Lonchura striata: one gene and its partners. Each later gene encodes a partner of the first gene's protein in a complex. Links are inferred from orthologs where the notes say so. Each region holds a gene or a part of one and is shown in the gene's direction. Other genes may lie near its edges. The genes, in order: SNRPE, SNRPD1, GEMIN2 and ARMC7.

The links.
Region 2: SNRPE (region 1) and SNRPD1 share a complex: the UniProt entries of both Homo sapiens proteins name them as parts of the SMN-Sm complex. The link is inferred for Lonchura striata from reciprocal best matches to the Homo sapiens genes SNRPE and SNRPD1.
Region 3: SNRPE (region 1) and GEMIN2 share a complex: the UniProt entries of both Homo sapiens proteins name them as parts of the SMN-Sm complex. The link is inferred for Lonchura striata from reciprocal best matches to the Homo sapiens genes SNRPE and GEMIN2.
Region 4: SNRPE (region 1) and ARMC7 share a complex: the UniProt entries of both Homo sapiens proteins name them as parts of the minor spliceosome. The link is inferred for Lonchura striata from reciprocal best matches to the Homo sapiens genes SNRPE and ARMC7.

Annotation. Positions count from the first base shown.
Region 1 is NC_134632.1:2,737,526-2,743,945, reverse strand, and holds SNRPE (small nuclear ribonucleoprotein E), read left to right. Parts: upstream 1-3,878; 5' UTR 3,879-3,949; coding exon 3,950-4,003; intron 4,004-4,312; coding exon 4,313-4,339; intron 4,340-4,731; coding exon 4,732-4,794; intron 4,795-5,026; coding exon 5,027-5,105; intron 5,106-5,731; coding exon 5,732-5,787; 3' UTR 5,788-5,902; downstream 5,903-6,420. Other genes in the region: ZC3H11A (zinc finger CCCH domain-containing protein 11A), read left to right, coding at 259-523. UniProt on the Homo sapiens protein: Plays a role in pre-mRNA splicing as a core component of the spliceosomal U1, U2, U4 and U5 small nuclear ribonucleoproteins (snRNPs), the building blocks of the spliceosome.
Region 2 is NC_134603.1:111,362,180-111,369,609, reverse strand, and holds the start of SNRPD1 (small nuclear ribonucleoprotein Sm D1), read left to right. Parts: upstream 1-4,427; 5' UTR 4,428-4,541; coding exon 4,542-4,555; intron 4,556-5,138; coding exon 5,139-5,215; intron 5,216-7,430. Other genes in the region: SACM1L (phosphatidylinositol-3-phosphatase SAC1), read left to right, coding at 67-159, 834-891, 1,578-1,714. UniProt on the Homo sapiens protein: Plays a role in pre-mRNA splicing as a core component of the spliceosomal U1, U2, U4 and U5 small nuclear ribonucleoproteins (snRNPs), the building blocks of the spliceosome.
Region 3 is NC_134608.1:23,823,849-23,831,095, reverse strand, and holds the start of GEMIN2 (gem-associated protein 2), read left to right. Parts: upstream 1-4,228; 5' UTR 4,229-4,266; coding exon 4,267-4,388; intron 4,389-4,896; coding exon 4,897-4,981; intron 4,982-6,147; coding exon 6,148-6,237; intron 6,238-7,247. UniProt on the Homo sapiens protein: The SMN complex catalyzes the assembly of small nuclear ribonucleoproteins (snRNPs), the building blocks of the spliceosome, and thereby plays an important role in the splicing of cellular pre-mRNAs.
Region 4 is NC_134621.1:5,395,059-5,402,786, reverse strand, and holds ARMC7 (armadillo repeat-containing protein 7), read left to right. Parts: upstream 1-4,909; 5' UTR 4,910-5,057; coding exon 5,058-5,124; intron 5,125-5,198; coding exon 5,199-5,342; intron 5,343-6,177; coding exon 6,178-6,515; 3' UTR 6,516-7,207; downstream 7,208-7,728. UniProt on the Homo sapiens protein: As a component of the minor spliceosome, involved in the splicing of U12-type introns in pre-mRNAs.

The DNA of each region.
Region 1 (6,420 bases):
CCCCAAACCCAATCCCAGCTCCCCCAAACCCAATCCCAGCTGCCCCAAACCCAATCCCAGCCCCCCCAAACCCATTCCCAGTTCCCAAAAACCCAATCCCAGCTCCCCCAAACCCAATCCCAGCTCCCCCAAACCCAATCCCAGCTCCCCCAAACCCAATCCCAGCCCCTCCCACCCTCCCTAACCCCCTTTGTAAAACCCCAAACTCCACCTCGGGTCCCTCCTGCGCTGACTTCTCCCTTCTCCCTGCTCTGCCAGCCCCCAGCCTGGCAGCCAGGGGCATTCCCTGGCCCAGGCAGAGGTGTCGGGATCCTCCTCCTGCTCCTCATCCCTGGAGGCGCCGCTGAAGCTGCGGCGCCTGAGCTCAGCCGGCGGCGCCAAAGCCGCGCTCTCGGTGGAGGACGACTTCGAGAAACTCATCTGGGAAATCTCCGGGGGAAAACTGGAGGCAGAAATCGACCTGGATCCAGGCAAGGATGAGGATGATCTCCTGCTGGAACTCTCCGAGATGATCGACAGCTGAAAGTGAAGGATTTTTATTGGAAAAAAAAAAAAAGGGGGGGGGGGAAAAAGATGCGACGCCAAAAAAAAAAAAATCCCCTAAAAAAGCAAAATTTCCTCCTGGCACCCCGAAGAAATGCTGGAAATGCTGTTGGATCCGTGCAGGAGATGCTTTCCCAGCTGGATTGGTGGGAATAGGCAGAGTCTGCTCTCAGTTATCCCAAAATTCCTGGTTGGGTTTGTCCCACGTGGGACGGAGCACTTGGAATTCCCTGGAGGGACAACACAGATCCCATGGCAGAGCTCCCTCCTGGACAGAAAAACCCCAAAAAAATCCCTGGAGTTACTGTGTCAACTCTGGAATCCACGGTGGACTCGGAATTGGGGGGAATTCGGGGGTGGAAAAACACCGGGAGGAATTTTGGACCAAACCCTGCCAGGGTGAGCCTGGCTCCGAACGATCCAAGGGGGATTTTTCTTGGAATTTTGGGATGGTGGAAAAATCAAAATTCCTCCTGGAATTTGGGAAAAGGAGCATTGCTTCAAGTGCCTCTGGATTTTGAGGATTTTTCCCTGTAATGAACCTCCCACATCCAGCTGGGATCGTTGTGGGAGGGGAAAAAAAACAAAAAAAAACCCAAAAAAACCACCTGGAATATTCCCCCCTTGGCTGCTTCCCTCTTTTCCAACCTATTTTGGAGATGGGATTGAGAGGAATCCCCGTGGATTTATTTTTATTTTTCATTTTTGTTTATTTTGATTTTAGTTGGTTTTTTTTTTTTTTGGTCCTGTAAATATTTTATTCTTCCATTTTATATTTGTATGATTCTATTTAAGGGATTAAAGGTAGGCTGCTCAACTGTGGTGTCCTTGCAGAGTTTTGTGCTTTGATTTAAGGAATGGTATCCAACAAGTTTGGTGGGAATGCTGGAATTAATTAGAAATTAATTAGAAATTAATGAAAAAATAATGAAATTAATGAAGAATAATGAAATTAATTAAAAAATAATGTAATTTATTGGAAATTTAATGAAATTTATTGGAAAATAAATGGAATTTATTGGAAAATTAATGAAATATATTGGAAATTAATGAAATTAATGAAAAATGAAATTAAAGAAAAATTAATGAAAAAAAAGAAATTTATTGGTAAATTAATGGAATTTATTGGGAAATTAATGAAATGTATTGGAAAATTAATGGAATTTATTAGGAAATTAATGGAATGTATTGGGAAATTAATGAAATTTATTTGAAATTAATGAAATTTATTGGGAAATTAATGAAATTAATTGAAAATTAATGAAATTAATGGAAAATTAATGACATTAATTGGAAAACAATGACATTAATTGGAAATTAATGAAAATAATGAAATTTATTGGAAAATAATGAAATTGATGTAAAATTGATTAAATTGATGGAAAACTGATGAAATTTATTGGAAATTAATGAAATTAATGGAAAAATTAATGGAATTTATTGGAAAAATAATGAAATTTATTGGAAATTAATGGAAAAATTAATGAAAAATTAATGAAATTTATTGGAAAATTAATGAAAGGGGCTCAGCCTGGAGAAAAGGAGGCTCAAGGGGAATTTGGGATCTTCCACAGGAACATGGGAGAGATTTCAGGGAATTTTTTTTGCTTTTTTTTTGTGACTTTGTGGGATAAATGAACAGGAAAACTCGAGCACTGTAAGAGCACAAAAATTACTTTATTTTAAAATTTTGTGTATTTAAGGGCGCAGCTCTGCTGTAGCTCTAAGCCAGGGGAACATTGCTAACAAATGTTTTATTTATAGATGAATTGTGGTTATTCAAACCAAATTAAATAATAGTGTGAAAAATGCCCAACACTTAGTTTTTAAATTTTTAAATTTTAATAATAAATCGGTTATAAAACTAATAACACAATTAGAGTAATAAAGTGTAGAGTTAGGACAATTAGAAGACAATAAAAAGCAGATTTTTTTGATTAATTTTTTGATTAATTAAACAAGAAATTCGCTTTTTCTGATAAGAAACCCATAAATTCCTTTTTTTTGGAAGATTTTGGTGTTCCTCGAAGCGAGTATCTCATTCCTTAAAAAAAAACCCAAAAAACTCCCCCCACATACTAAGAGAAAAAAACCTACTAAGAGGAAAAAAAAACTAAGAGCAAAAATAACCAAAAAAAGAATAAAAAAAAATCCTACAAAGAGCAAAAAAACCCACAAAAAAAACCCGAAAAAAACCTAGTAAGAGCAAAAAAAATAAACAAAAAAACCCCATCTTACTAAGAGAAAAATAAAAGACCCTACTAAGAGCAAAAAATAAAAAAGAAACCCCAAAAAACCTACTAAGAGGAAAAAAAAACAAACAAAAAAAAAACAAAAAAAAAACTTTACTAAAAGAAACCAAAAATCTACAAAGAGAAAGAAAAACTACTAAGAGCAAAAATTACTAAAAAAAGAACAAAAAAATCGTACTAAGAGCAAAAAAACCCACAAAAACAACCTACTAAGAGAAAAAAAACGTAAAAAAAATTAAAAAAACCTGCTAAGAGAAAAAAAAAAGGACCCTACTAAGAGCAAAAAATAAACAAAAAGAAACCCCAAAAAACCTAAGAGGAAAAAACCCAGAAAAACTCTACTACGAGAAAAAAAGCAAAAACCTATTAAGAGAAAAAAATCCTACTAAGAGCAAAAAAACCCCGAAAAAAAACTACTAAGAGAAAAAAAAATTTAAAAAAACACACTCAAAAAAAAAAATATACCCTACTGAGAGAAAAAAAAAGAACCCACAAAAAAATCCTACAAAGAGAGAAAAAATCCTAAAAATAATGATAGGGAAAAAAAACAAATAAAGTAAAAATCTCCTGAGGGCCTCACGCCGCCAGTATCCCACAATGCCCTGCGCGCTCCGCCCCTCACGGCGCCGCTTCCGGCCGCCATTACCGCCGTGCCCGCCTTGCCCGCCCCTCACGGCGCCAGTGTCCCACAGTGCCCCGCTCGGGCCGCCATTACCGCCCGTGCCCGCCTTCCCCGCCCCTCACGGCGCCAGTGTCCCACAGTGCCCCCTTCCCGGCCGCCATTACCGCCCGTGCCCGCCTTGCCCGCCCCTCACGGCGCCAGTGTCCCACAGTGCCCCCTTCCCGGCCGCCATTACCGCCCGTGCCCGCCTTCCCCGCCCCTCACGGCGCCAGTGTCCCACAGTGCCCCCTTCCCGGCCGCCATTACCGCCGTGCCCGCCTTGCCCGCCCCTCACGGCGCCAGTGTCCCACAGTGCCCCGCTCGGGCCGCCATTACCGCCCGTGCCCGCCTTCCCCGCCCCTCACGGCGCCGCTTCCGGCCGCCATTACCGCCCGTGCCCGCTTTCCCCGCCCCTCACGGCCCCGCTTCCGGCCGCCATTACCGCCCGTGCCCGCCTCCCCTGGCCCTCACAGCGCCGCGGCCCCGCGCAGCCATGGCGTACCGCGGGCAGGGCCAGAAGGTGCAGAAGGTGATGGTGCAGCCCATCGTATCCTGCCCGCAGCGCTCGGGGAGGGAGGGAAGGGAAGGGAAGGGAAGGGAAGGGAAGGGAAGGGAAGGGAAGGGAAGGGAAGGGAAGGGAAGGGAAGGGAAGGGAAGGGAAGGGAAGGGAAGGGAAGGGATGGATGGGGACGGGTGGGAAGTAGGGAAGGGAATGGAGGGAAGGAAGGAAGGGAAGGGAAGAAGGGAAGGGAATGGCGGGTTCCACTATGGGTTCCACCGCGGGTTCCCTTCAGGGGTTCCCCTCAGCGTTTCCCCCGTGCCCCCGGCTCTGCTGTGCCCTTAACCCCGGCCCCAGAACCTGATCTTCCGCTACCTGCAGAACGTGAGTGCCGGCAGCGGGCTGGGGGGGAGGGACCTCAAATCTCCCCATTTTAACCCCATAAAACCCATTTAACCCCAAAAATCCCCATCTTATACCCCAGAACCCCCATTTTATAATGCCAAAAAAACCTGTTTTATACCCCAAAACCCCCATTTTATAACCCCAAACCCCACCCAAAAATCCCATTTTATTACCCCAAAATCCCATTTCATACCCCCAAACCCCGTTTAACCCCATTCCCCCAAACCCCTCACACGCCAGACAGTCCCACCCCACACAGGGGTGACCGCAGACAGATTTGGGGTGGGGACAAACCCTGGACCCCAAACCCCTTTGGGGCCCTGCTGACCCCAAATCCCATTTGGACCCCAAATCCTGTTCCCGTTCTGCAGCGGTCCCGGATCCAGGTGTGGCTCTATGAGCAGGTGAACATGAGGATTGAGGGCTGCATCATCGTGAGTGCCCCATTCTGCTTTGGGGTTTTTTGGGGGGGTTTGGGGGTTTTTTGGGGTTTTGAGAGTTTGTTATTAGTTTTATGAGGAGGTTGGGTTTTTTTTGGGTGTTTTTTGAGGGGATTTGAGGGCTTTTTGGGGGGGTGGTTTTGTGTGGGTTTTTGGGTTTTTTTGGGGGGTTTTGTATGGGTTTTTGGGGTCTTTTGGGGTTTCTGAGGCCGGTGCTGCTCAGCAGGGCTTTGACGAGTACATGAACCTGGTGCTGGACGATGCTGAGGAGATTCACTCCAAAACCAAGGCCAGGAAGCAGCTGGGTAGGGCAGGGGGAGAGAACCCCAAATCAGGGTCTGGGACCCCAAATCGGGACTGGGACCCAAAACTCCGGGGGTGGGTCCTGGAACCTGGATGTGTGACCTTAAATCCTGGTTTTGGGACAGGGATCCAGGTTTTGGGATTGGGATCCAGCTGTGGGATTGGGATGGGATCCAGCTGTGGGATTGGGCTCCAGCTGTGGGATTGGGCTCCAGCTGTGGGATTGGGATGGGCTCCAGCTGTGGGGCCGGGCTCCAGCTGTGGGATTGGGATGGGATCCAGCTGTGGGATTGGGATCCAGCTGTGGGATTGGGATCCAGCTGTGGGATTGGGATCCAACTGTGGGATTGGGATGGGATCCAGCTGTGGGGATGGGCTCCAGCTGTGGGATTGGGATCCAGCTGTGGGATTGGGATCCAACTGTGGGATTGGGATCCAGCTGTGGGATTGGGATGGGCTCCAGCTGTGGGATTGGGATCCAGCTGTGGGATTGGGATCCAGCTGTGGGATTGGGATCCAACTGTGGGATTGGGATGGGATCCAGCTGTGGGATTGGGCTCCAGCTGCGGGGCCGGGCGGGATCGGGGCGCTCCCACCCCACAGGCCCATCCCGAGCCGTTGGTTGCAGGTCGGATCATGCTGAAGGGGGACAACATCACCCTCCTGCAGAGCGTCTCCAGTTAGGATCGGGCTGCTCCCGGCCCCCCAGCGGGATTGGGATCGCTGGGAACCCCCCGAGCTCCCGGGGGAATCGGATTTTGTACTTTGGGCAATAAAACGGGGTTGTTTTTTCACAAAATCTGGGATCGGGGTTTCAGGGAGAAATGTTTTCCAAGGGTTTTCCCCCTGTGGGATTGGATCTGGGGGGTTCAGGATAATGGGGGTTCGAGTTTTCCCAAACCAAACCCTTTATCCCAAAACCAATCCCATCTTCCCCAAACCAATCCCTTCTTCCCAAAAATAATCCTTCATTTCCCAAAACAAATCCCTTTTAAAAAAAAATCCCGTTATCCCATAACCAATCCCATATCCAATTGGATATGGATTGGATATCCCATATCCAATTCCTTCTTCCCAAACCAAATCCCTTTTTCCTTAAACCAGGCCTTTCTTCCCCACAAAAAGTCCCTTATTCACAAAAAATCCTTTTTTTATTCCCAAAACCAATTTCTTAATCCCAAAAAAATCCTTTTCCCAAACAATTCCTTTTCTCCAAAAATGAACCCCTTTATCCCAATAAGAATCTTTTTTTTTTCCCCAAACCAATCTTTCTACCCCTAAACAAATCCCTTTTTCCCAAAAAATCCTATTCCCTAA
Region 2 (7,430 bases), on another chromosome or scaffold:
CATGGGGAAATGTATTTGAGAAACATTGCTATGCATTCGAACTCTTGCCTTCCCTTTCTCTTCCAGGATGCGATTGATCTTTTTCTTGGAAATTATTCAGTAGATGAAGTAGAACCTGCTAGTCCTTTACATGTCAAGAAGGATTGGAAGTTCTTAGCTGTGAGTATGGAGACTTTATTTGTAATAGGAGAGACAACAATTCAGTCCCTGGCTTCATTTTGCCTGAGTAGGACTTGTCTGTTAGTCATGAAGCATCCCTGTAATCTGGTAATGTTTCTATGATACCTGCTTATAGGATTAAACCCAGACTTTTCCCTTGACAGAAAATGGAGTGTCCTTGAGGTATTGGAAAAACTACTCTTTGCTTTTTTTCAAATGTGCTTCACCAGGTGGAAGGGGGGAAATTCTACTAGTCACTATCAATGAGTGTTTCCTTATACAGAAGAATCTTGTGGACTTCTTTTCTCGCACTTCTTGCAGAAGCATAGACTGTAACACAAAACACCCATTTTTTTCATTTTTCTTCACCTTATCTTTCTATTTTGAAATGGCATTTGGGAACATAATGGGGTTTAACTGGTGTATTTTTTTTAAAACAAAGCATAAGCCTCAACCTCTCATTTAATGCACAGGAAGTGTATTTCAGTTTTAAATATAATTATTGAATACAGTCTTCCAAATTTTGGAACTGTCCAAACTTTTATTTGTACCTGAATGCAGGTGAATTGAGAAGCAAAGCAAGTAAATAGCTTTACAGTACTACCCATCTTAAAGGAAATTAAGGAACATATTTACTGGTGTATCAAGTGATTATTCTGTTTCTCTTTCCTCAGTTGCCTATTATTATGGTGGTTGCTTTCTCCATGTGCATTATTTGTTTGCTAATGGCTGGTAAGTCACTATTGAATTTAATTTTATAAGACTGGGTTATTTCTCTGTGAACTTTGTGTAAATGGTTACAATAACTGTTCAGTGTAGAATTGCTTCTCTGTCATTCTAAAAGGTGCTTGAACATGGCTCTGGAGATTGAGGTTTAGCACTGTATCATTAGTGTGGAAAAATCTTAGGTGCTGTAGAATACAGTGTTAAGACTCATGTAGAAGTCAATTAAGGGACAGTTAATTATCCCCAAATCTAGATGCACCTTGGTAGACCTGTAGCTTTATCATAGGCTGGATGAAGCCCCAGAGGAATACCTGTCTAATTTTGGGCAGAAAGACAATTCAGAGCGGTCAGATACAGGCATAAGCCTGATTCTGATGGACTTCCTTTTAATCTAAATCTGTGTTGGGAGTGGTGAAGGGTTTTTGCCTCCTGCTTTTGCCTTGAATTTTTTTACATTATTGCCAGTAGAGTTCTTGACTGACTTCCACAGATCTCTGTTCAATGTGTTCCAAGAACTGTGTGGCAAATACAAATATTCCAAGGCAAGGAAACGGAAGATCTGTGGAAGACTTCTGATTTCATTTGACAACAGATTTCTGAGGGAGAGCTTGAAATATTTGCATTTGTCCTAAAGTAAAACTGTCTGCTAATTGGAGATAATGAGCTAAAAGCTTTGTCTGACTCTTTCTCAGGTGATACATGGACTGAGACACTGGCCTATGTGCTTTTCTGGGGAAGTGCCAGCTTTGGAACTTTTGCTATCATCCTTTACAACGGCAAAGATTTTGTAGATGCACCCAAGCTGGTCCAGAAGGAGAAGATGGACTGAATTTGTGTGTGTGGAAAGCGGCTTGGTACTGAGGATTCTTCAAGCCACACTTGGAGTCTCTACTGACCTGCTTTCCACACCAAAAAATGCTCTTATGAACATTCTTCCTTGGCAATGGGGGAGGGGTCAGGGGTAAGGAAACGGTGTCCTGTGGTGGTGGTAGCTTTCAACTGAGACCTGACTTGACAGTCTTAGTTGCAATGGTCTTTGGAATATTGCATTAGTGGGCAGGGCTCCACTCTTACTGGAGTAGTGCAAAGACAAAAGCCAGCTTTTTGGTTCTGGAATGCCTTGGAGCTTAAGTGGACTGCTGAAGCTCATGCTCCACCTGGGTTGTTTCAGCTGGTTTTTTGGCCTTGACAGGAGAGAATTTTGATGCTGTTAATGTCTCAAAATACCCAAATGTTGAAGCATTATTAATGGAACATCTGATAGGGATCTCTGAACAAATATGGCTTCTTACCAATAAAAAGTCTTGGTCCAGATTTACAGCTGGATTACGTTTGTTGTGATAAAGTCTGTGTTAAGGAGTCTTTCGTGCATATTTGTGTGTGGATTCTTTTCACTAAATATGAAAGATTTATGAATCCTAATGCTATTCTAAAATGAGGTTTTTGTCCTGTCTTGTTTATCTAGAACTGATGCAATATTCTGCTAATCATTGTTTGGGTGAAAGGGCAGTGTAATTGGATGTTCCTGAAGTTGCAAATGTCTTGCACTGTTTCAATACTACAGTCTCCATATGAAAATCGAGTAGTTAGTGAGTTAAAATGTAGAATTTTATTTCTGAAGATGTAAACAAAATCAAAGAATGTAAAAGTCCTTTGCAGTGTTTATTCAACCTTCCTTATGCTAAAGTTCCAAAGTACTTCATTATTTTAAGAATGGGTCACAACATAAAAGATTAACTTCATATTGTTTTGCTAGTCAGCTGCTTCTATCCTTGGTTATGTTGAAATAATTTATGAAAGAAGGAATAACAGCCTGAGAAGAAAGCGGTAAGTCTAAACTCCGTATTTCTGCTTGGGAGCAGCAGCTTGCTTTTCATGCATGATACTGTAATACACTCTTTTAAGAAAAAAAAAAAAAATGGAGGAAAAAAACTGCAGACTAATTTGTGCTGGTTAATGTGTGTCTTTAAATTTAGTGCTTCCAAGCTGTATAAAAATAAGGACCAATTTTAAACTATTTTGTCACTTATTTTATATGGTTTGTTCAAAACCAGACATGGAACTTGCTTAAGGCGCTGTGCATTGTTTAATATTTCCTGTAAGTACAGCTGTATATTCAGATTGCAAATATAAAATTTAAATGGGGGGAAGGGACAAAAATGTAGAATACTACTAGGGCTAGCACAGGTGTCATTATTGAAGCTAGAACACAAAACACTGATACTCCAGTGTTCCTTTGTGTCATGACTGAAAATATGTACAGATTTTTTTTTTTTTTCTTCTTCTTTTTGCAACTGTTCATTTTAACCTTGAATGTTTCTGGAGGCCTCTCTGGGTTTTGTGTAAACATAACCTGTTTATGAGCACTAGTACTTGCAAGGTATCAGTTTGCTTCTAGATGCTGTAATGGAAAAATACCAGTTGGTGGCTAACTAGGAAGTCCTCCTAACTTAAAATTTTCAAAGGTGAACTCCCTCATGGGCACAAAGTATAAGAACATCATAGATTCAATATTTGAAAGCAATGGTTCTGGTGGCTCAATGGCAGGTGGAGTTTGAAACTTGGCTCAGTTGTCTTGCAGCCTAGAACTGAGTTGTGCATCTTTGGTAACGAACTTGTTGCAGCAAAGACCAAACTTGAATTGCTAATATAGAAGGTTTGTAAGACTTAGAATAACGTAGGTTTTAGAAGTTGGAAGGCACCTGTGTTTCAGTGCTTTGCAAAGACTCTGTATTTCTAAAATCACAAATGGTGTACTACTCTTCAAATACAATAAAATGTTCAGCTTTTCTACATTGCTGTCTGCAGTGCATTTTGTACTTTGGAGCAGACTGTTCCCAAATCGGAGCTGTTTCACACCTGAAGGCTGCTTCAGTTTTGTGTGTGCTCATTGTTGCAGGTGGGAACCATCACTCAAACAGGGCTGATCTGGGGCAGTGTCTGATCCAGTCTGCACTGTGAGATGTTCACTCCTCTCAGACATGGCTGGATCTCTCTCTGGAGCACCTGTGGCTGGAGTGCTCCAGCGCTGCATCCCCAGGGTCACCTCTGCTCAGGGCCGATGGCTCTCTGTCTCTTTCCTCACAAGGGCACTTCAGTGCCTTATTGGCCATACCAATAGGTGAAAATTCTTGCTATTACAGCTCTGGATCCTGAAGCTGTAACTTTTATCACAATAAATTAGTGCTTTACAGGTTCTAGGCCTTGGATTTCTTTTCCTATTTGTAAAGCTCAAAGCAGGTTTAAAATGAAGTACACTATTTGATTTTTTTTCTAACATTTATTTTTAATTAAGGACGGCAAGCTGGTAGTTGTCAAACCTTACAAAAAGCCAGGCTTTCATAGACCAAGTCCCCTCACTCCTATTCGTATCTCCTTCCCACCATGCCCATTCTTTTTCCCCGTCCCTCTTTTCCATCCTCTCACCTTTTCCCCGCCCTCTCCCCCCAGGGGCGGCAGCAGGCGCTGCTCGGCGCTCGCCGCGGGTCCTCCGGGCCGCTAGGGGGCGCTGTCGCGGCAGCGTCCCGGCGAGCGCGGCCGGCGCGGCCTATCCGAGAGGCGCCTCCGCCGCGCCGTGCCCGCGGCTCTCCGCTCGCCCGCGGCTCTCCGCTCGCCGGGGCTCCCGCCCGCCGCTCCGCGCCCGCCCGCCCGCCGCCATGAAGCTCGTCAGGTGAGCGGGTGGGCGCGGGCAGGGGCGGATGGAGGCGGATTGCCCGCGCCCGGCCGCGGCGGCAGCGCCGGGCGAGCCCGCGCAGTCCGGGCCGCCCCGCGCTCTCCCGCCACCGCGGGCGGGAGCGGGAGCGGCCCGGGATGGGCCCGGCGGGAGCGGCCCGGGATGGGCCCGGCGGGAGCAGCCCCCTGTGCCGGGCCGCTCCCGCCCCGGGACTGCGCGGGTCGCTCGGCAAAGCACCCCCCTCCCCCACCGCCTTTCATTTTTGGAGGGAAACGCCGCGGAGTGCGTTAGCGTTGCTTTCCCGGGATTGTAACGATTTGTAAAATGGTTCCCTCTTTGTACAATAATGGCCGTTTCGCCTGGAAGTGGATGCTGGACCCGGCAGTGTGTCACTCAGGCGTCCCAGCTGCCGGTGGTTGGGCAGGACGCGGAGTGTCTCTGAACATCCCCAGCAGAATTCCTGAGCGCCGTCTTTGGGAGCTCAGGATGCCGAGCTGCTTGGTGCTGCCTGTCGAACGCGTACGGCTTTATGTGGGATTGAACGGGTCTGGAGTTTTTAAAAGGCGTTTTTAATTCACAGGTTTCTAATGAAGCTGAGCCATGAGACTGTGACCATTGAGCTGAAGAATGGGACGCAGGTGCACGGAACGATCACAGGTAGGGCAGGATGCAGCAAATACTGCCCCGCTGCCTTTCGGCAGACAGTTTACAGCCGCGGCTCGGATGAGCTTTTTGTCCTGTGCTCCCTCTTGCGGGGACCAGCACGGGGAAATGCAGGAGATGGGCTTTGTAACTCAGAGCTTTGTGTGCAAGGGCGAGGTGTGTTTGTGTTGCAGGAGTGTCTGGATATTGTTGGGGGTCGCTGGGAACAGCTGGGAGCTGTGACCAGCCACTCCATAGGCAGCCACAAAAGTACTTGGGAAATTCAGTGGGTCACGGATTGTCTTTGATGTTTAGTAGTGAGTGAGTCCATTCACTACTGGTGGACTGAGATTTCTTTGTTTTAAAGGTTTTGCTGGGAGCCTCTGAGCCCAGCTGCAGCTTTGCCTGCAGGCAGGCTCGGGGGGAAGGAAGCGAACTCTTCCAAACCTTGCTTGGCAGTCTCTTAGAATTTTAGTAGCACGGTCACAAAATGGTTTGGGTTGGAAAGGACATTAAAGATTATCCAGTTCTAACTCTCTTCCCAAGCACAGGGATAACTTCCAGTAGACCAGGTTGCTCAAAGCCCCATCCAGCCTGGAACTCTGCCAGGGATGGGGTATCCACAGCTTCTTTGGGCAGCCTTTTCCAACTGATGTGGTCTGAAATTGGTTAAATTTTGCATGTAGACTAAAAAATAAAGTAAATTATTTCTGTTGAACACGTTTTAAGGCAGATCTAGATGGAAATGCATATTTGCATATGTTTGATTGCATGAGAGGCAGGTTTGAGAACGGCAGAGCCGGGTGTGGGATACAGGGCAAAGAGGAATCCTGGCCAAGAGAATCTGCTCTCCCGGTGCTGCCAGAGGTCTGTCCTGTGGGTTCCTAGGAATTCCTGATTACCAGGTGCTTCTTCGTACCACTGAGCTGAAAGTTGCAGAGAATTCTGAAGGGTTCATTATGTAGTTCTCAGGTATTAAAACATGTGCAAGCGAATTTGTTTGCTTTAATAACCTCAGTGAGGAACGTTGTTCTGAGTGTTCTGTGAGCTGTGCTTGGAGACAGCAGGAGGGATGCAGGTGGGGCACGTTGTGTTTAATGAGGCAGACCTTCACAGCTGAGCTGAGGAAGCCACTGCATCTGCCTTCCTAAACTCACCCCCAGGCAGCTTTCAGAAGCTCTTCTGCCCAGGCACTCTTGGAAAATAAAAAGTTACAACTCTTGTTAAGTCTGAATTTTATTCTAGAGGATTGCTGAGGTACTTTTTTGGCCAACAACAATCTGTGGGGATTTGGCAGAGTTCAAAACTGGCATTAGTTTGCAGCCAGGTCCATCAGTTTTTATCGGAGCTGAGTGAACCACCTTGGTTCCCAATGGCAGCGCAAGCTGCTGAACCCAGCCAGATGGGAAGCTAACACTGCTGGTTTCCTTACCTCACTGCTCTTTCAGGCTTAATTGCCTAGCAAAGCCTCTCTCATTTGCTGCTAAGAATCCACAAAAACATTGCACAATATCCTCATCCTCCCAGCTCCAGGGCAGGAGCAGGGCTGAAGGCGCAGGTTTTGTGTAATGCCCCTCACACCAGCCAAGGGACTGGGTCAGTTGGAGCTGTGTAAAATCAAGAGGGAGGAGAGAGGAGAGAGGACAGAAAATAAAGTCACTGTCATCTTGATCTTCATAGCTGGAGGTCAGATCTCACCTAAAGCTCTGCATATGCAAAATAAAAACTTCTGGGGGTTTTTTTATTGCTTCTCAGAGCTGTTACACAGTAAATGCATCCAACTGAGATGTTTTTTTCCAGTTTGGAATTATGCATAACACAGCATAGTGTGCACAATACTAATTCCATACAAGTCATATGTACTGGCTGTTCTCAGACTTTGTAACCACAGTGGCTGTTTCTTGTTGTGGGGTATTTTATGGACTTTCATAGAGAATTCACTCTGGTGTTGAATGTATTTTATCAGAAGGTAAATGTTGCTTTTGTGGTTGGATTCTCCTGAGGCTTACAGAAAAAGGAAATGACCCAGGTTATTTTTCCTCCTCCAAGATTTATTTTACTTCTTTTTAAAGGACTAAAGATTAGTATTCGCCTTCTGTAATAAGCAGTAGTTTATTTGTTGTTTGGAGGAGTTATTTTAATTATTTACAAAGCAGCTATTGCCAGGACCTGGATAAAGATCTCTCACCATGAGGAACTAAAGGCCTCTCATGGTAACTGCCATAATTCA
Region 3 (7,247 bases), on another chromosome or scaffold:
TAAATGAGTACAGTTCACTGCACACTTTTCTTACAACACACCTCTTCTCTCAAATTATTAGGCACTAACAACCTGGTAAAAGAGATTAATAATAAACCCTTAATTCATTTTTTATGACCAAATTACATACCAGATACAAATTCGGTTCCAAAGAACTAAAATACATGAGCACAATAGTTTAAATAGTTATCTAAAGCAATTTGCTAACATTTTCACCACTCAAACGCAGTCCTCCTCCAAATCTGCCCTCCCAGATCTCTCACTGAAAACTTTAAACAACTACGGTACCTAAATTTAAAAAAAAGCAATGCATAATCAAACGCAGCAGGGCCTGCATTTCTCGTTTTACCTACACTGGAAGGCACCCTCGTCAGTGGCACAGCGGCACAGCTACAGCGGAGCTCCGGGACAGGAGCACCCCGGCGCTGCCGGGGAGCGCTGCCCTTCACCCCGGCCGTTCAAGGCCCTGCCCGCCGGCCCCCGGCCGAGCTGGGGCTGCTGGGGCTGCTCGCCCGGCCCGGGAGGCCGCGGGCACTGCTGACCAGCGCCCGGCGGCAGCCCCGGACTCTCAGGCCGCCGGGGGCCCCGACAGCAATTCTGGCACCCGGAGATCCCCCAGCGCCACGGAGGAGGCGCGGGGAGCTCCCACCACGCTCCCTTCGGGTCCCACAGCCGTGCGGGGCCCCGCGGGCCGGGTGCCCGTGCCTCCCAGCGCGGGGAGAGGAGGGGCTGCCCCTCTCCCCTCCCTGCACCCCAGCTCCGCCGGGCCGGGCTCCCCCTCAGCGCCGCGCTGCGCGCTCACCCGCGTCCCGGCCGCCGCTCCCGCTGCGCTCGCTGTCCCCGCCCGCCCGCCCGCAGCCGCCCCGGCGCCGCCGACGCACCAACATGGCTGATGGGAGAGTCCGCGCCACGTCAAGGGCAGAGAGCGGGGGCGGGCTGAGCTCCGCCGCCCGCCCGCCCCCGGCACAGCCCGCCGGCCGCCCCGGCCTGCCCGGCCCGGGCAGCGCGGCCGGCGTCAGCCGCCCCGCGGCTCCGACCGTGGCTCCGCCGCCTTGGCAGCTCCTGCTCGCGTGTGTGTGTTGGCCACCCTGTTCGGCTGTCTTCTGAAGGTCGGTCGTGTGCATCCCGATCAGCGGGGGCAGTTTGGCCGTCTCTCCCTGCGGCAGTGCCGCGGCCCCGGGGCTGCCGGCGGCCCCGCCGGTGGCTGCGCTGCTCTGTGCGGGGCTGCTCCGTCCGGCACGAACTCCGGGATCGAAACAGCCGGGCTTATTCCCATCTTCCACCATGACTACTTATGGCAACTTCTTAATCTGGAAGATTGTTTAGATGTTTCTTCTGAGTGCCTGGGGAAAAAACAAAATGAAGTTATATTCCTGGGGGTTTAAACCTGAAACAATCCTTTATCTTGTTAGTGTGGTCAGCTTTTTTATCCACAAACTGAAGTTAACAGATAACTCTTCAGTTTTAGGAATTGTTTTTCACAAGGCTGTCATGAAAGGCCAGAACAATAACTTCTGTCTTTCCTGAGATGTCGTAGTGCAATTAATCCAGACATGGGGGAGGACTGGAAAACATTCTGCTGACTGGCTACCATATCCTGCCTCCTTCATTGCAACTCGGAAAATATTCTGTGACCATCAAGCAAATACAAATTACTAAAACAACTTTACCCTCTTTTTTTATATGTCAGATGTGATTATGATAGAATTTCTTTGCCATTGCTCTCTCCAGTATGGTTTACCAGTCCTCTTCAGACTAAAAACATGAACAGTTAAGCAACAGCAGAATTTATGGGAGGGATTTTTAATTTTCTTGTTCACAAATCTCACTGCCATTTGTGGGAGTATTAAGCAAGAGCTTGCCAATGACATGTAACATCCTCACCCTGAACTCAAAAGAAAAAAAGAAAAAAACAGACCAACCCCCAAACCCTACCACACTTCAAACAGATGCACAGCAAATTACTCAGTGTTGTAATTTCAAAAGTATTCAAATAACTTGTGAAACATTTTCAGAAAATTCCCCAAAAAAGAGGCAAGTCCTGAAGTCTAAAATGCAGGATGAACTCTATAAATAAGAGAAAAAGAGGCATCTGACATTTAAAGACACTCAAAGGGCAAGAAGGGAAAACAGCAAAGTATACTACTCTGAAAGTTTACTACAAATAAAATATATTCAGTATTTTAAATTAATCTTCAGTACAATTAAATTTCATTACATAATAACTCAGTCCAATGCTCTAAACTTAAAGTCATGCAGCTGTTATGACGCTGCTAACCACAGAGAAAATCAAGGAGAAAGAAAAGTAGAAAATAGATATAAACTCATTTATTCATTATAAGAAAATATTTTGCTAGCTCTCCATATTCATATCTAGAATGTAGATTTGAAAACATTTTAATTTTTCATAATGCAGAATTTATATGTTACTTTGTTTTGGTTTGGTTTTTTAGCCAATGAGGCATATCCATTAATGCAACCTTTCTTGGGGAAGGCACTCTTCCTTAATGCCTAAGCAGGTGAGAAGAAATATATACATTTCCAATTTCATTTTCCTCTTTCTCCACTGAGTCATATTTGCTAGCCATTGCATCAGCATTGTTGGTAAGAAATACTATCTGCAATAATTAAAAATATGTTGCTTTGCTTAACAAGTATCAATGGAAAGTTGAATAAAAAGTGATCTAAAGATAGGAAGTATATTTGAAGCGTATATCTGTGGATTCGCTTGATTCTATGAAGTTCGTAGTTCTGGACTTTACAACAAATAGGAAAAATAAGTTCTGAATATTACTAAAGTATTATAAAAGAACTTTATATAGCTGGACTCACCAAAGTTTTTGTCTTGATCATCAGCCTTTCCAGAGTTATCACTGTAGGTTTAAGTAGGCAAGTTTTATTTCTAGTGGTGACTGCAATTGTTGCATACTCAACTAAGACGTTAGATCCGGGTTTCAGGAAAAAAAATCTCCCTGGTACACGTAGGTGCTTTTGGAAACAATTTAAAACAAACAAAAGCCATTGGAGAGGAGGAGTTAAGGCAGATGTTTATTTAGAACTACTGAAATACAGGCTTGCAGGGGGTTAAAAAGAAAACGTTGTTTTTTTTTTTTTAACTTATGTCAGAAGTATCTCAAACTACTCTGAAATATTAAATCTAACACTGCAGAACTAATTGAAGAGATAATATACTGATGGACATTTGTGTAACAGGAATTTCATAATACACAATGTAAATGATTACAGCATCACCCTTTCACTTTTTGTCTCACCTGGGAAACAATGCCCCTTTGTGCAGATGTGAGAAACTGCATTGACTTGTTTGTTCATCAAAAGTATGAAATTAGGATAAAAGGGGGGGAAGTCGGGACATGGAATTTGCAGGCTTGACTGGTAACCACAAAGATTGTGAAAGATTTTGCAGGACTGGCTGGAACTGATAACCGCAGTGGAAACCCATTGTTGCTGAAAACTGATAAACCGAAGTGGAAGAAGACACACCACCCCACTTGTAAAATCCATTGTTTTTGGGACTGATAACCACGGTGGAACGAGACTCATCACCCCCACTCATGCAAGATAAAAAGGGACTGAAGAGAAGGAAAGGTTGTCAGCTTTTGGCGGAGCCAGGCTCCCAGCTGAACCCAGCGCTGTTTTGCTTGCTATCGCTTGCTGTAATTAATAAAATTATTAATTGATCTTAAAAGGCTGAATCAAATTATTCGCCTCAACTTATAACACAGATGCTACCTTGCTTTCTGACATGTGGATGCTTTCACATTGTAGTCTTCAGAAAAATTCATACAGCAACAGCTCAGGCATTGATCCTTCCAGAATGGGAACTCTGTAAATTTAAAATCATTAACTTCTATATAACTGACTTTAACCACAGATCTCAAAGCATTTCAAGAAAGGGACAAATATTACGAATACTGGGTTTTCACAAGTAAAATAAGAGCGTACTAACGGGTGAGCTTTAAAGAATTTTTGGCAAAAACTACAGCATATTAGAATAATGTCACAGCGGCTAATGAAGGAAGCTATTAAAGGTTTACGCCTCTTCACCACAAAAATAGGCGTAGTTTGATGGGCAGTGGATTGGCAACCCCTCTTCTGCCGCTGCTCTTCGGCCATGCTTGTTGTGCTCCCCGGCGGGAGGACAACCGCCCGGACAACCACGACGCCGGGCGCGGGGCGCGCCCAGCGGCGCCGGGCCGAGGCGCGCGCCGCGCGGCAGCGCCGCTCTCGCGAGAGCCGCGCGGGGCCATGGAGCCGGGCCTGGAGGAGCTGATGCCGCGGCTGCTGCCCGTGGGCGACTGCGACCTGGCCGAGGACTTCGATCCCACCGTGCCTCCCAGGACGCCCCAGGAGTATCTGAAGCGCGTCCAGTGAGTGGCGGGGCGGTGGGGCCGGGCCCGGGCCCGTCGCCTCTCCGCGAGTGTGGCGGGGCAGCCGGTGCTGCCCGGGCCGGGCTTCGGGCGCGCCAGGGCGGCCGCGCCGTGCTGCCCTCGCCGGCACAGCCGGTGCTTTCACACCGGTGTTTAAACACCTGCTTTAAAACGGGCGGGCACCGATCTCTTCCTTGTCGTGACCGGCGACACGATTCCAGGAAACGACATGAAGCCGTGTCAAGGGAGGTTTGGGCTGGCTATCAGGAAAAGGTTTTTCACCCAGAGGGTGGCTGAGCACTGAACAGCTCATGACAGAGTTCGGGAAACATTTGGACAGCGCCGTCGGGCACAGGGTGTGATTTCTGGGCTGTCGTGTGCACGGAGTTGGACTCAATGATATTGATTGGTCCCTCCATGATTTTTATGAGTATTTCAAAGACATCCGGTATATACCGACCTGTCACATGAAAGAAAAAAATGCAGCCCACTTGATTCTGTTTTGTAGGATTGAAGCAGCGCGATGTCCTGACGTTGTTGTGGCGCAAATAGATCCCAGAAAATTGAAGAAGAAGCCGACAGTAAACATTTCAGTAAGTTTGAGAGCTTTTGCACGTTTTGAGTAGGGGGGAAACCGGGAGAGATGTTCCTATAATGATGTTTGTATTACTTTGGGGGAGTCATTGGCATAACTGAATAGCACTGCTAGATTCTAAAAGCATCTACAGAATTAAATGTCTGTGTTTGAAGAAACCCCTGCTCACCTGCTGGGTAACAGCAGTATTTCTAAATTATTAAATTGATAATCCCCATACTATTTGATACACAGCTGACTATTTTACTGTGTAAGGAAATCAAATGTTGCATTAAATCTTACAATTATTTAATCCTGCATAAATTTAAACCTGCATAAATTTTAGAAGAAAAACATATCCATACCTGTCTTTGGGTTTAAGTCTATATTTAGCATAAGGGTAGTAAGTGCAGCTAAGCTTTACTAAAGTTACATTAAATTCTAGTACCACTTTCCTTTTGGAAGGAATATTTTATTGGAACTTCTCCTTACTGTTGAAGCAGATTTTTCTGTTGTTGCATTGCCCTGCCAGCTTGGTTTTTAATCTGTTTTCAAATAGTTTGCCTTTCTCCAACGACAACGATGTAATCTGAGATTGCCCTACTAGATTTCTCAAAGAAAGTTTCTAATACTGATATGACTTTGTAACTTCTGTAGCCATTCTCTTCATCTGTCTCATCTGTTTGTAGTGACATTCTTAAGCACTTGTAGAAAGATTTTGTTTAATAACCCTTTCATGCTAATCTTTAAAGCAGTTATATCTACTTAACTATCAAATTTAATTTTCTAGATGGTTTTATGGTCTTCTGTCTTCCTCAACTACTATCTTCACAGGAAGACTGCCTAAGATTGATAGTATCTGTCCCAGATAAGGAAGCTGCATCCATTTTTTTATGAGCAGGGAGATTAAAGCAGAACAATTGCTGAAAGGAAGACCTTAAGTAATTATTTGACAATGTATTTTGAACACTTAGTTTTCCTTCTTATGTACATATGAGAAGTGTCAAATTTGTCTAAGCCAAAATCTTAACTCAGCCTTGGATGTGGTCATGAAATTACCTTTCTTAGATGGAGAGTTCAAGGATATTGTTGACCTGATAGTAAACATTTACTGATTCTCTTGTCCTTAAGGATTCTTCTTATGCAGATCTCTTTACATTATAATTATTACCAGTGTTTTCTCAGATTTCTGGATGTCAGCCTGCTCCTGAAGGATACTCTCCAACGCTCAAGTGGCAGCAGCAGCAAGTGGCCAATTTCTCAGCTGTTCGTCAGGTACAAGATAGTCTGTGAGGGGTCTTGCATGGTCTAGATAGAACATATCTGTGCTTTATAGGGGATAACTTTACATCTAGTAGAGAAGTGTTGCGATTTTGTTGCAGGATAGAAGTTTATAGGCAAGTGTTTTAAGTTCTTGAAAGCTAATTGAGCATATACTGTGTGGCTTTTAAACCTCTGATGAAACTCTTGAGAGTCAAGTTTAAGAAATTCTCTGTATTTTGATTAAATTAAAAGGCATGGTTGAGGAAGGACAAAAACCCCTATGATGTTATGCAGTTATATTAAAACATAGTGCTAGCAGGAAATGTTCTGCAGAACTTAATATTAACTAAGAACAAAGTGGATTCTAACCCATCAGGAGATTCATAAAGTGCATTTAGAAACCTGTTGACAGAGGTGGCAACCCATTATGAGGAGACATACTGATTTGGTAAAACATATTTGTAAGGTTGTAGAATTAGCACAGACTTTCATCTTTCCTGATACATTTGCACCCTGCTTGAAATAACACAAGAACAGAAAATAAGCAGTCTCAAAGGGTAAAGGTTCTAAGTTCAGCTAAGCTTTGCTAAAGTTTTAAACTAAAGGAGGATTGATTTCAATTAGCTATAAGGAAGAATTTTTTTTACAGTGAAGGTGGTGAAACACTGGCACAGGTTGCCCAGAGAGGGGTGGATGCCCCATCCCTCAAAACCACTAAAGGTCAGGTTGGATGGGGTTCTGAGCCTGAGCTAGTTGAAGATGTGCCTGCCCATGGGAGAGGGGCTGGACTAGATGGCCTGTGAAGGCCCCTTCCAGCCCAAATCTATGATTCTATTATTCTCTATGCACAGTTCAAGCAGGATGAATTGAAAATATAATAAAAATATAGGTGGAGGTAATTTGTGATTCCACTGCTGCAGACAGCATGTTTACAGTGCATTGATACTGCATTGTAGAGTCCCTCAAGTACTGAGGTGTGACCAGCTAGGAGCTGCTCTAGCACTGAACTCTGCATGAGCTCA
Region 4 (7,728 bases), on another chromosome or scaffold:
TGAATATACAGTCTTGGTGCACAGGCTTCCTGCTTGCTTCCCATGTTGGGGGTGGCAAGACAAACACTTTCCACAGGAATTGTGCTATTATTTTCCACATCTCTAAATATTATACAAAAGCAGATGCATGGGTTGTAGAACTCAGACAAATCTCTAGTAAGATAAACTGTTTTCTCCTATGAAGCATACACGGGAGTTCTTCATGCCAAGGACAGTTTCAAAGCCTTCAAATTCAAATCCAGAGTCCCCCCAAAAAAAAAAAAAAAAAAAACCAAAAAAAAAAAAAACCACACCAACCCACCATGCCTTCGAGTGCCTACTTTGTGTAACTACTGATATCTCAAGTGCAGTTTAATATATAATAAAAGAGGATTCATGGCTCATGTAAACACTCTTCAGCATCAACTGGAACCAATTTGTGGCAGGGAGGGTAATATCAGACCTATGAATAAGGATATGCATCCTTTTATAGGGCAAAATACAAAGCAACTGTAGCTCCTCTTTGTGGAGATCAGTTCAGCTCTTTAGTCTTAGACTTTTGAACCTAATTACACCAGCATTCCCATTATAGAGAACTTTGCACAAACATAACTTATATTTCATAGAAGCAGAACTTACAAAGAAATCTGTGGGGGAAGCATAGTGGAAAAAGCCAGTGTTGCTGACTTTCTATCCATACAGCCTTGAGTGTAAGTGGCTTTCTCTGCCACATTCCCAGGATTTAGGCTTGTCTCTGCTCAGACAATGGCTGCAGCAGCCTCAGCATCAGCTCAAGATGCAAACTGTTCATATTCTGTGTCATCCCTGATCCAACAGACACAGATAACAGCTCATGAAGCACACGGATAAAGATAACCCAACACATCAGAACAATCAAAAAGATGGAAGCACAAAATGGGAGTGAAATGGAAGAAGTAACAGCCTTCAATGGAACTGCAGTGCCTGTCTAAGAACTGTTATAACTCAGCTGCAGTGCTTATCTGGAGAACTGTCCTAACACGTTCCTAGTGACAAACCCACAGCTTTCATTAGAGCTCCCCAGAAAAAACAAACAAACCAATTAAAAAAAAAACACTTTGCATGAAACCATTCAAAAACTGACTCCACGTTCTTCAGAGACTACAATGGCTTAACAGGTGGCTTTTACACAAAACGGGAGTCAGCCCTTCAGACAGGCTCCTGCTCCTACAGCTCAATACTGTCTTGGGATTACAGACCCAGGAGGATTTGCATTTCCTGAACAAACCTATACTTAAATAAGATGGTTAGGGGGAGACATACATATCTGATCTCTCATCACATGTGTTTATTAACTTATGTAATGCTTACACGATCCATAACTATGAAGTAAAGAGGGACTGGTGCTTCTCAGCTTACCAAAAGAGACTTCTATACATTCCTAAGAAAATGAAGAGGCTTTCTCACAAAAAAGCAATAAAAAGGGATTAAATCCCTAATTTCTTCTAGCTATTGCAAATAAACAGCTAAGCAGCTGAACAGGTTGCCATTTTCTCTGTAATTCTTAAATTTTAAATTCTGTTCACCTTTCTACACTCCCTTTCTGTTTTCTTACAGAAATATGAGGTTATGTGGCCCCAGATCCTCTCATTGCTACAAATGTCCTGGACAAAATAGGCAAGATATGGTGTAAGCTACAATCCACCAAAATTTCTGACAGGAAACAAAGGTTAGGTGAAGGAGCAATGGAAGGCACCTCCTGCATAGAGCCAGCTGATCCACCTGTAATGCTTTTGCCTTGGCTGCTTCATAAAAAAGGAAATGTACAGGGCAAAACCAAAAAATCTTCACCAACTGAAGCTGACACAGAGATCAGCTCCTCCTACACCAAGGCAAAGATACCTGTTTTGATAATTTCTTGATTGTGCAAGATAATTTAGGATGGATGACACTTTTCAGAAGTGTTTTTTGATACTCCCAGACTTATCTCTGGGGTCACTGGGACTTATTCGCAGGTGCAGAGAGAGGTTTCTGGGAAGAAAAACAACAAATTCACAAACCTGTTATTTTAACATTTCTTAAGTTGCTGACTGAAACCTTTCTAATAGAACTTAAGCCTGAAAACAGGTTTGTCTCCCCTGGTTACTTTCCACAGAGCCTTTAAAAGTAATCCACAACCCACAGGTTTGAAGCAAATCCTCAGCAGTCAAGAAGTATTACATTTTATGCTGTGTTTCCACAGGTGAATATGATGTCTTAGTTCCCATAACAGAGAAAACAACTCCTCTCCTTTCCATGGGTCTCCTCTCCCATGTGTGTTTCCCACCTGGACTCCAAGCTGCCTTGAGCAGGAGCTTGGCAAAGGATACCAAGAGAGACCTGAGCATGCTACAGAATAATAAATATTCCCCCTCAGAGGGATCCTACAGGTGCAGCAACACTCAGGAATCTTGGGGACCAGAAGGAAAAGAAAGTGATAAAAATTCCCCTCATTTGTTTAAGGTCAGCCTTTTACACAAGGCAACAGCAGCCTCACCGAAGCAGTTCCTTTAACACCTGCAGACAGTAAAACAACCCTGGGACAAACACTAATAACTCAGCTAGGTTACAAATCTCTGAGAAATAACAGAGCCACAAAAATTGAGCCATGTCCTCTCTTGCCCCTCCCCTGCCCCCTTTATCATTGAAGATATTCTCACTATTGCAAGATAAACATTTTGGCTAGAAGCACATTTCATCACTGAAATGAAACACACTGGGGACATTCACACTAACATATTGCAAGATCATGATCCTTAAAAGCCTAAGATTCTTTGTCAGGGTAATACTTGAGAAAGTTTAATATTAATTATATACATTTAATAGCAATAACCCCCAAATAAAGGTTACGGCAATCTTACACACTCTAAGACGCCTCTGAAGTGCAAAATCACTTCATTTAAGAGCTTGTCTTGCTGCTTGCAGACATATCTAGTAGATATAAGAAAAGAAACAACTACTAGAAATCTAAATTTCCTGAATTCTGGCTTCGGTGTGCTATGGAAGTCACCAGAATAGCCCCTGGAGCTGTGACTACCCTGGCTAGATCAGCCCCTGCTCTGGGAACTGCTCTGGCAAACAGCCATTGCTTGGAGCACTCAGACCATTAAACTGTACCGCCAATATCGGGTGGGTTAAATGCAGTTCTTACCAACAGAAGTAATTGCATTTTTCCTTTTTAAACACAGTTCCCCCCCCCCCTCCATTATTAGTCAATCCCAGCAGCGCTCTGTTTGCATGGACTAGCTCCCTGTGTTTGCTTTCTCTGCTCCTGCTTTCCCACATTTCTCATTCACCTTCTGTTTAATGATAGATGAGGATTTAAAGTACAGCAGCACTTACCACTTATAAAGGCACACATTAGAGGAGATTTCTTACTACATTAGCAAAACATTCTAATATAGACACAGTTCGTACCACCTTGCTGATAATTTTCAGATATATTCAAATATGCAGATAAAAATACATGTATATATTTAAACATATACATAAATACACACTGACTTCAGTTGATAATCATGTGAAGAGCTAAAGTTGTTAGCATTTAGCCTGGCTTAAACTTTTATACCACATAGAAATAAATGTTTTGTGTTTCATGTTTTGTATCTTCCTACACCATTACAATGTTAAAATATTTAGCATTACTGCATTCAGTGAAGCTTCTTTGCTCATCCTTCTATTTATTGTAGTAATGGGCAGATATTTCAGTGCCCTCAGCTGTGTGGGTTATCAGCCCACCACCCTTGTCACTGGTGCCATGTGGATCAGTCCATGACTAATTAGCTTGATATAAAAATCAATTGTATTTGAGATAACATAAAAAATAAAATTCTCACGGCCTGTTCCTTGCCTTATCCACAGAACAGCCATGCATGTAATTGCTTCAATAAAAGCAGTACAAATTTCTGCAGAGTCCACTCCTACAGTTTATGATCTTTATTAACCTTTACCTTGTATATTTACACAACATGAACCATAATTGAACCCTCTTGCAGCAGGTAAAATTGTGGTGGTTTCACCGAGCTGTGTTACTTCAAAACAAGGGACTCACTTTGCTCTGTGCCTAAACCACTGTACAACCAAGCTAGAATCACCTGCTGCTCTTTAATTCACTCCCTGGCTTTGTTTCATTTTTTTTTCACAGATAATTTCCCTCACTGTGCACATATTGTGTCCCGTTTTTACTTTTTATCCCTCAGCTTCATGAATGACAATCCCGTTATTTAAACTGGAACTGATCCAGGAGCAACACTACCCCAAGGACAACAGCATTAGGATGGAATAGCACAAGCACAGAGGTGAAAATTCTTTGAGTAAGAAATCAGTGGGGAAAGGTTACCTGCTTTGCAAAACCACACGTTTAAACAGCAACGCTCTGCCATATAATGAGACAGTCAAATACCTCGACATAGGCTAATTTGTTTTTATAGAACGTATATAATTATATATAATGTATTTAGAGAGAGAGCCAGCTGCGGAACAGCCACATCTCCCCCTGGGGCGCGGGCCTCCCCCCGCCCACAAAATGGCGGCCGCCTGAGGCGCGCTGGCACCTCCCTGTCCCGCCCACAAAATGGCGGCTACCTGAGGGGCGCTGGCACCGCCCTGTCCCACCCACAAAATGGCGGCCGCCTGAGGTGCGCTGGCACCTCCCTGTCCCGCCCACAAAATGGCGGCCGCCTGAGGCGCGCTGGCACCTCCCTGTCCCGCCCACAAAATGGCGACCGCTGAGGGGCGCTGGCACCGCCCTGTCCCGCCCACAAAATGGCGGCAACCTGAGGGGCGCTGGCACCTCCCTGTCCCGCCCACAAAATGGCGGCAACCTGAGGGGCGCTGGCACCTCCCTGTCCCGCCCACAAAATGGCGGCTACCTGAGGGGCGCTGGCACCGCCTTGTCCCGCCCACAAAATGGCGGCAACCTGAGGGGAGCTGGCACCGCCGTGTCCCGCCCACAAAATGGCGGCGGGCGGGCTGCTCCCGCCGCGCTGAGGCGGGCGTGTCGTCTCCATTCCTCGGAGCACCCAGTCCGGTGCAACGGGCAGCCCGTGCGGTGTGCCCCGATGGAACTGGGTCGGCTGGAGTACCTGCAGGCGCTCGTCACCGAGTTCCAGGTGACGGACAGCACAGGTAACAAACGCCGCTGCTCGCTCGCCCCCTCCGCGCCGACCGCTTCCTCACGCACCGACCCTTTTCCCCTGCAGAGGCCAAGGAGCAGGTGCTGGCGAACCTGGCCAACTTCGCCTACGACCCCAGCAACTACGAGTATCTCCGGCAGCTCCAGGTGCTGGACCTGTTCCTCGATATGCTTACGGAGGACAACGAGAGCCTCGTGGAGTTTGCCATGGGTAAGCGCTGCCCCAGCACCCTAGGTCTGGTCCTTAACCTGCCCCAGAGTCACCCAGGGCTCCAAAAACAAACCCACACTGTGCTGATAAAGCCTCGTTTAGTGCACAATGGGAGAGAAGTCAGAGGCAGGTGTGTCTTCCATGTCCTTGCAGAGCTTAATGAAGACACTATCTGGAAAAGATTTTGTTGTTTCGTGGTTTTTTTTCCTAAACACTACCTGATTAACTTTGTACTGAAATCTGTCCTGTAGAGAAGCAGTTGTTAATACATATATTTTGCCAGGTACACTGTACAGATCCATGTAACCATTCTGATATTGGCAACTGGTCTTCTAGAATACTTACTTGACAATTTTAATAAATCTTTTGAGGAACTACCTTACCACGATTTTTCATTGTCTGAACATAAGCTAAAAGGCCAGATGCTGTGAGTGGTTCTGTGAGATGATACTAAATGGATTTGATTTTTAAGGTTTGTGTCTGCATCTCAAAAGTTTCAAGTTTCAAACATTCTGTGTTTCTTGACTGCTAACTCTGTTACCTCCATTCTCTGGCTTTCTATAGCACCTGCAATAAAACTGCTGGCTTGTGTCTTCCCTTAGGGATGAGTGAGCGTTCCTGGAATCATTGTGTGGGAGCAGTTATGTGCAGCAGTAACAGTGCCCTCTAATGACAGGCAGCCGGAGCGTGCTGGTGGAAAATCGCTGGAAACAATCAAAAACGCACAGCCTAGGGAATCGTTAAGAATTTTCCATCCATCCAGAAGATCTGGATGATAGAAATAGGATGAGCTGTGAATTGCGTCACCTCGGACACTTTCCTCTTGCCGTTCCAGGTGGCCTTTGCAACCTGTGCTTGGATAAAACAAACAAAGAGTACATCCTGGAGGCCAACGGGGTGGAGCCCATCATCAACTGCCTGTCCAGCTCCAACGAGGAGACCGTGGTGTCAGCCGTGACCACGCTGATGTTCCTGACGACACCGCGGTCGCGCGCGCAGACCACGGCGCTGCCCGTGGTGGAATGCATGCTCCGCTTCTCGCTCTCGGCCAACACGCGCCTCAGTAACCTGGCATCCATCTTCCTGCAGGATTACTGCAGCCCTCCACAGGTGGAGGAGGCCAGGAACCTCAGCAAGCACACGGCAGTGGGCATTCCTCTGCCCAAGGACTGAGCAGGGCTGTGGAGAGGGGAACCTCCTGTTGTTCTCCCTTTCTGCTCAGCAGGTCAAGAGCAGCATTAAAGAGAGGAGTTGGTGCCACCAGTGCTGGTGTTTAGTTAACAAACAGGATGGAACAGCACTAACACAGCAGCTGGGCCAAGCGTTCAGCTAAGCCTGCAAATATTTAAAATAAAGCAGGTCATAGCTGCACATTGGAAAGTGCTTTGCCAACTGCAGCTCAGCACACGGTTTGCACAAATAACACTTCCCAGTAAAGAGGGGTGTTCTGCTCAGGTTATTGAGCAGAATTATATCCACTCCGGTTCCTGGCTGGTTGTGCTACACCTCTCCCCTTAAGTGTCTGTGACAAGTGACGCTAAGTGTCAAGTCACTGAAATGTCACAGAAAGGTATTCTTCCTTCAGAGAAAGGAGTTTCCCTGCCCCGTTCACAATCTCTCCATCCCTGTGGCACTAGTTATGCCATCCTCTAATTGTGGCACAGGCAGCCAGCTAGGGAATCATTACATAGGGTAGGCAGGCTGTAGCTGCCCTATAAATGAAGAAGTGCTAAGTTTGTCTTTATTACCACTGATGAGAAAGGTGAAGTAAAAAAAAAACGGGCTCATGACAGCCTGGCTCATGAGAACAGCTCTCTTGTAAAAGCTTCTGTTAATAAAACATTAACTTAAATGCTGTGTAATCATTTCTGTGTGAGCTAATGAATATTTTTCTCCAGCACTTGCAGCCTTTGCCTGCTCTTACTCAAGCACAAGGGCCAAAAAATCGAAGCCAGCCTAGTCTCTTTTCATTATCAGCCATGAGGCAAGAGGAAACCCCATAACCAGGGTGGCTAAATACATAAAATTTAAAAGGTTTGAGCTCAGTGCTTCCTGACAGACACCCACACTGGATCTGCTTACATTTGAGAGCCTTCTTCCTCTTCTCTCCCCTCTGGCCCCAGACAGCACAAACCAAACAGGAATGAGGTTAAACACACACAAAAATCCAACCACAGCTGCTTGTAGTTTATAGTTTCTCTTCTCCAACAGCAAACATCCAAAACACTAAGGAGATGAACGGTGCAGAGCAATCTTCCAGAAACACAGAGCACTGTCTGACAGGAGCAGCTCGTTTCTGTGGCTGATCCCTGCAGTGACAGAGCCTCCTGGGCATGGCAGGGGCTGGGCTGGTTGTTTCCTGGCAGTGGGAAGAGCATCCCCTTCC